2 linked regions of the Ovis aries genome follow. The protein of the gene in region 1 purifies or fractionates together with the protein of each later gene. This does not show direct contact. Links are inferred from orthologs where the notes say so. Each region holds a gene or a part of one and is shown in the gene's direction. Other genes may lie near its edges.

The links. Proteins that work in one complex are often made in the same cells at the same time.
Region 2: the proteins of EIF2AK2 (region 1) and ADAR purify together in Homo sapiens (affinity purification with mass spectrometry; 3 studies listed by BioGRID and IntAct, with this or other methods). This does not show direct contact. The link is inferred for Ovis aries from reciprocal best matches to the Homo sapiens genes EIF2AK2 and ADAR.

The regions. Positions count from the first base shown.
Region 1 is NC_056056.1:86,926,173-86,929,825, forward strand, and holds part of EIF2AK2 (interferon-induced, double-stranded RNA-activated protein kinase), read left to right. Parts: intron 1-776; coding exon 777-897; intron 898-1,242; coding exon 1,243-1,319; intron 1,320-1,484; coding exon 1,485-1,584; intron 1,585-3,451; coding exon 3,452-3,486; intron 3,487-3,653.
Region 2 is NC_056054.1:104,824,133-104,827,785, reverse strand, and holds part of ADAR (double-stranded RNA-specific adenosine deaminase), read left to right. Parts: coding exon 1-110; intron 111-408; coding exon 409-542; intron 543-2,384; coding exon 2,385-2,567; intron 2,568-3,040; coding exon 3,041-3,153; intron 3,154-3,653. UniProt on the Homo sapiens protein: Catalyzes the hydrolytic deamination of adenosine to inosine in double-stranded RNA (dsRNA) referred to as A-to-I RNA editing.

The DNA.
Region 1 (3,653 bases):
TATTCTCCTGTAGAAGCCTCTACGGGTTTTATCATGCCAGTTGAACATCTCTGAAAAATTCATTAGGTCTCTTTCTTCTTTCTCTGCCTCCATGTCTTTTGACTTTTGGGGAATTTTAAAAAATCACCACTTGGTACCTTAATGCCACATCTTTCAATGAAGCAGCAAAGAGTTAGAAGTTCCCTAGAGAATGGAAGCTGGGCTATTAGCCAATCCTGGTTATTCTGGTAAACTGATTAGCCATCTTATTGAAAAAAAAAAATATATATATATATATTAAATCTTGCCTTTTTAAATATAGTTTTTATTTATTTAGTTATTTTTGGCTGTGCTGGGTCTTCATTACTGCGTGGGCTTTCTCTAGTTGCAGCAAGCGGAGGCTACATTCTAGTTGTCATGCTCATTGCGGTGGCTTCTCCAGTTGCAGAGTACGGACTCCAGGATGCGTGGGCTTCAGTAGCTGCGGCTGCAGGACTCTAGAGAACAGACTCAGTAGTTGTGGCACATGGGCTTGGTAGCTCCACAGCATGTAGGATCTTCCCAGATTAGGGATTGAACCCGTGTTTCTCCTGCATTGGCAGGCAAATTCTTTACCACAATGCCAGCAGGGAAGCCCTTGTTGAAATTTTAAATTAAGTAAGATATGAACTATTAATCTATCTATTAAATTGGTGTTATATTTAGCCCTTTGTTAATATGGTTTTTTTTTCTGAAAACACATGAGTTACATTTACTGTTTTTCGGTATTTGGTTTAATACTCTATCATTTCCCCTAGGTTTTATTATATATGCAAAATTGGACAAGAAGAATATGGTAGTGGTGTGGGTTCCACTAAACAGGAGGCAAAACAGTTGGCTGCCAAACTGGCTTATGAAAAGATAGAATCAGAAACAATGGTATGTACTGCCTTGGGGTTTGATTTCTATATTTTAAAATTCTCTCTGAAGTTGATTTGAAGTTAAATGATATTTAGGTGATGCCAAGACAGCCAGTCACATAGCAAAAGCATTCCTTCATTCTGTGTCCCACCAATGAGCCCTGTGGCCGTGACGCTTCAGAAGGATCACAGTTCTCATGACAGCTCAATGTTTTTTAAATTCAGATCAAACATCCATAAAAATGTATTAATCCTGTATTTATGGCTGTGAATGTGGTCAGTGTGGGGAAATAAATGTGGGAGTTGGTTCACAGAGACTACGCCACTCTAAGAAGTCATTTAGTTGTACTTTTAAATCTTTCAGAGAGCTGACCAGTCCTCTAATTGTTTCAATACCGCATGTGGGGATGTTGAAAGAAGCTCTCCAGCAGTGAGTACATCGTAAGTATGGACAAACAGGTGTGACAGACAAATTCAGATTGCAGCCTGAAAGAGCAGATATTTGTGAAAATGTTTAATGTTGAAGGAGAATTTAGAAAAAGCAATTACTGATCAACAAAAAATAGGCAGAATTCATAAACTAATAGCTGTCCTCTTTTCTTTTAGTAGTTCTGAATCACCATCTGAAAATGGCTTCTCAACAACTGCATCAGAAAGAAGTGATAATAACGGTGTCACATTAAACAGCTCTTCCGTGTCTCCAGGGGTATAGTATTAGTCTCTAACTTTCCTAGTTAATCTTATTTTCCTTTGTGTTTCCCCATTTAAAAGTGACCTCCAGTACCTGTCATAATTTTTCAATTTTTTTTATGGTCTCTTATTAAATCAAAATATTTTGCAGCCTTTTCTCTCTCCTTTCTTTATTAACTCCCATTCCTCACATGCAAAATTTTTCTGCTCTTCACTCCCATCTTTCTCTCCCTACTCACCTTTGTATTTTTCATGTATTCCTATAATCTGGCTTCTTTTCTTCTATCAATTGGATGGTATATAGAAGGTTCACTCATAGATTTCTGCTCCTGTTTTAATAAATCAGAGCTAAACTTAAAAACTGAACTTAAAAATCAGATAGTTTTTGTGGTGATGTTTAGTGCTACCGAAGTATTATATTTATAAACAACTAGAAAGACATCCCTGGTGGTGCAGTGGCTAAGACTCCATGCTCTCAATGCAAGGGGCCCGGGTTCCATCCCTGGTCAGGGAACGAGATCCTGCATACTGCAATGAAGACCTGGCATAGTGAATTAAATAAATATTTTTTTAAACTACAAACAAATCAATAAGAAAAAGATAAGCAACTCAGTTAAAAAGAAAAAATGTACAAAAGAGCTGAACAGACAGTTTAGAAAAGAGATACCCAAGGGGGCAACAGACATATGAAAAGATGCTTCACTTCATAATAATCAGGAAAATGCAAATGAAAACAATAGCTAGATACCATTTTAAACCATCTGATTGGCAAAATTTGAGTCTGGCTCTTCTAAGTGTTGACACAGCTCTGTTCCTTTTGTACCTATCACGTGCTGTTACAGTAATAGTATATGTTGCTGGCTGATGTATAAATCGGCATTGACTGTCTTGGAGAGCAACTTGGCAGCATGTAGCGGAGTTCAGGGTGTGCCAGCTGTATTGCCAGTTCTACTCCTAGATATGTCTTCTAGAGAAACACATGTATGTGTGCACAGAGATACATGTATAAGCATGTTCTTTGCAAAATTGTTTGTAATAGAAGAGATTAGAGAAAATATTTTCCATTTACAGAATGTCTGAGTTAATCATAATGCAGTCACTTTGCAAAACTGAGGCTGGCGGGTGATAGGAACTCAAGAAATCTCAGTCTGATGTTTGCACTCTGTGTCAACATACTAAAATTGTTAAAAAAAAAAAAAAAACAACAAAAAAACACCACGACCCCTACCAGAATAAAAGTGAATATGCTTGAAGAAGAGCTATATTAATTTTTGAGAGATATGTCAAAGACTCCTCTTTTTTGGCTAAATGTTAAATTCTTGATTTGTCCTAAAAATGTTTTAAACTAGATCCTGGGGCCCCATCTGTTTTCTTCCCTAGCACTGTGAGTAATTACAATGCATAGTTTCTTGCTGAGATCTGCTGGCCAGAGGATCTTCTGGGAAGCCATATTCTATACCCGGAGAATCCGTGCTCCTGTAGAACATGCCCTGCAGTTCTGTGTGTGTTTGTTTTTTTTTTTTCCCCTGTTGTGCTGCACAGCATATGGGGTCTTAGTTTCCTGACCAGAGATCAAATCCGTGCCCCCTGTTTTGGAATAGAAGTGCAGAATCTTAACCACTGAATCTCAGGGCCCCAACAATTTGTGTTTTTTGCCCTTCTTATCATATCTGTCTTTGCTATAATTGATGAGAACATTGATGTAGACAAGTACACTGAAAGCAGGGCTTACTGAGAGCATATAAATTGATGAGGTTGTTAATCGTAAGGACAGAGAAATGTGGTCAGAGAACCATCTAGAAGTACAGGAGAAAGGATGGCCAAGAAAAGCAGGATACTTGACTTAATCATCTGAAACTATTTTCCATTTTCTTTTGTTATAGGACGGTTCCAGAAATAATTCCAGGAAGGTGAAGAGGTGAGTATCATCATGCATTGGACTTATTTAGAAATGAAGCTTTATTTTAGATCTAGATTATTCATCTTATTTAAGAAGTTCAGTATTTGTATTGTATGCCCTTATTTAAGTGGAGTTTCAGGAATTCAAAGCATGATTAAGGCTCACAGAAATCTTAAAATCTATGA
Region 2 (3,653 bases), on another chromosome or scaffold:
GAGTTAATGAAATACAACCCCCAGACGGCGAAGGATAGTATATTTGAACCTGCTAAAGGAGGAGAAAAGCTTCAGATAAAAAAGAGCGTGTCATTCCATCTCTATATCAGGTCTGTACAGTCTCTGTTGTCACCAGAGCCGGCCCGCCGGCTTTCTGGGGCTGGGTGTCTGAATGGTCTCCACGTCCATAATTCAGAGCTTGTTCAGTGGGCAATGCTTGACTCTTGCTTGAGGTCCACACCCCAGTGTGGAATGACTCACACTTCTACCCACTCCAGTAGCCTGTGTAGGCTGCAGAAAAAAAAAAAAAAAGCCTCGTTTCTGCCACATGGAGCTGTTCTTAAGCCCCAGGCAGCTGAAGAGACCCATGCGCACAGGCGGGTGTTAACAGACGCCCCTGTCTTGCAGCACGGCCCCGTGTGGGGATGGTGCCCTCTTTGATAAGTCGTGCAGCGACCGAGCCGTGGAGAGCACAGACTCCCGCCACTACCCTGTCTTCGAGAATCCCAAACAAGGCAAGCTCCGCACCAAGGTAGAGAACGGTGAGTGGCACGTCCTCCATCACCCATCGAAAGGCTCTGCAAAGCCCCAGGCCCGTCGCAGGGCCAGGGCACAGCTGCAGGGTTTCTGCCATCATGGGTGGGATACCAGGGTCTTGTCTCCAGAGGGAGGGAAGATGTAGGTCGGGGAAGATCTATGGGAAGATTGGGACTCCGTTTTGCATTGGTCGGCTGGGTGGATCTGCAGTCACATAGGAGGCAGCAGTGCCCATCTAGAGCCCAGAGGAGAGAGATGGCTGCAAATAAAAGTCTGGGAATTATCCTCCTGCGGTTGATCCTTATGGCCATGGAAATGGATGGGATCACCTCAGGGAAGGTTGGAGAAAATGGAAAGAAAGCGAGGCAGAACAAGCCTGAGGCGTTGACAGGACTCCGCGCCCGCTTCCCCGCCTGCCTTGCTGGCTGCTAGTTCTGCACCTTGTCTGCCAGCTCCTCCTGCTCTACCGTCCTCCCGTGTCTCCTCACCGTCTCCTCACGTCCACTCTGTTCCCTTCAGGCCAGCCTTCTGCAGTCATCAGAGTGGCCCTCAAACAGAGGTCGTGTCGCTTCCCTCCTCAGAACCCTGAAGTCTAAACACAGAGCTCCCATATGATCCACCAGTTCACTCCTAGGAACATCCCCAAGAGAAATGAAAACATGTCCACACAAAAACTAACACAGACCGGCTACCCTCTCTCTCGGCGTTGCCACTCTTGGGGCTGAGGAGGCCGCAGGCTGCCGCGTCGTTGCTGCATTTGCTGCGCTGGCACTGCGCCTTACAGCCCTGAAGAGTCTGCTTTTTTCCTCTCCTTTTTTCCCCCTGCAGTCTCCCATTATGGAGACCCAGGGAGAAAACACTAATACAGAACATTCATAGCAGCAATGTTCATAACAGCCCAAAAGTAGAGACAACCCCAGTGACTGGTGAGTGGGCAAGCAAAATGAAGTATATCCATAAAACGGGGTATCGTTTGATACATGCCGCAGCACGAGGGAACCGAGGGAACAGTGTGGAGAAGGGAAAGCAGCCGGTCACGAAAGACTTTGTGTTACGTGGCTCCCACATTTTCATTTACTTGAAACGTCTAGAATAGGAAAATCCATAAAGAAGGAAAGTAAGTCGGGCCAGCTGGGCCAGCGGTGGAAAGGGCTGGAGGGAAATGGGGCGTGACTGCTAAGGGATAGGAGGCTTCCTTGGAGGGTGATGAAATGTTCTCACATTGGTTGTGGTGATGGCTGCACAAGTCTGTGAATACACTAAAAATTATTATATACTCTAAACGGGTGGACTGTATCTCATTGAAGTTCAGGAAGAACCAAAAGCCCACCACCCTGTCATGGCCTCCCGCTACACGGAAGCAAGCCCTGCCACTTCGGCCATCCTGGTTCTTCGTCAGGTCCCTCCACAGCTAAACCCTCTGCTGCCTCAGGGCCTTTGCTTTTGCTGAACTCTGTGTCTGAAACACTCTTTCTCAGCTGTTTCTTCTCTTCCTTCGTGTCTCAGCCCCCCGACAGTCCTGTCCCAGGAGATGCCCTGACCTGTCCATTATAGCTCCCTCAAACCATCTACAATCATTACGTGTGTATTGGCTGACTTGTTTAGTGTCCCCTTTCTGCTCCCTCACTCCCATAAACCCGCTAGGAGCGCAAGGATCTGATTTGGTTTTGCTCACTGTTGCTTCCCGGCACCAAGCCTAGTGCCCAGCACAAAGTAGCTGCTGTGAGATATTCAAAGAACGAATGAGTGCGAAGCCTCTGGCCCAAGTCTAAGGAGCAGAAAATGCCATGCCGGGGAGGGGCCTGGTCCAGCGGCCCTTGCAGGTCTAACCCAAGTCTCTCATCCAGGGGAAGGCACGATCCCAGTGGAGTCCAGTGACATTGTGCCCACGTGGGACGGCATTCGGCTGGGGGAGAGACTCCGCACCATGTCCTGCAGCGACAAAATCCTGCGCTGGAATGTGCTGGGCCTGCAGGGGGCACTGTTGACCCACTTCCTGCAGCCTGTGTATCTCAAATCCGTCACTCTGGGTAAGGACCTGTCTTGGAAGCTGAAACCGGACTGTCATCCCGGTTCCCAGATCCCAGCAAACTGCACACTTCATTGCCAGGTGTTAACATGATGTCTCCCCTTTTCAAAGTGTGCTCGATTCGGTGGTTTAGTGATTGATTCTGAGTGTCCCGTCTGCTGTGATGGGAAAATTGGTTTAGGCAGCAGTCTCAGTAACAATATGCCAGCCAAGTCTTTCAAGGTGAGTTAGAGAAACACAGCAGCTTAAAACTGCAGTGTCTTAGTGTCCTTGCCATCTCAGCACTTGGCCTTACCTGGAACCTTATATATTGTGCTTAACTGATGATCCCTTTGTATCCTGGGCAGCCGCAGTCAGCAGGTGCTCCCTGCCTAGGGAGCTGAGGCTCTGTCTGTGCCCTCACCCTCCCCACATGCCTCTGTTGCTTCATGGCACTGGGGATAATCAGATGTGTGCGTTTCTTTTTGTACCCAGGTTACCTGTTCAGCCAGGGGCACCTGACCCGTGCCATTTGCTGTCGTGTGACAAGAGATGGAAGTGCATTTGAGGATGGACTCCGACATCCCTTTATTGTCAACCACCCCAAGGTGCGATAACCCAATCCATTTTTCTCTTGGCGTTTTCTCCTTTTCAAGTAGTCCTGTCAGCAGAGCAGAAATGTACAGTGTGGGCAAGGGGAGCCTTAGTTGGTTTCCCTCAAACTTAGCCTTCCCTCCTTTGGGGGCTTCCCCGATGGCTAAGATAGGAAAGAACCTGCCTGTAAAGCAAGAGACCTGGGCTTGATCCCTGGGTTGGGAAGATCCCCTGGAGGAGGAAATGCAACCCACTCCAGTATTCTTGCCTGGAGAATCTCATGGACAGAGGAGCCTGGCAGGCTGCAGTCCATGGGGTCACAAAGAGTTGGATATGACTAAGCGATTAACACTTTCACTTTTTTCCTTCTTTTAGTTTGGAATTCATTTGAATTGAGGTGGGGTTAGTATATCTCAGTCTTAGCCAAACGGAATCATAAACAAGGGGGAAAGATCATGACCTCGTCTTCCCTCTTTCCTGTGAGTCTTGAGTCCCTGCTTCAGAAGCTTTTCTC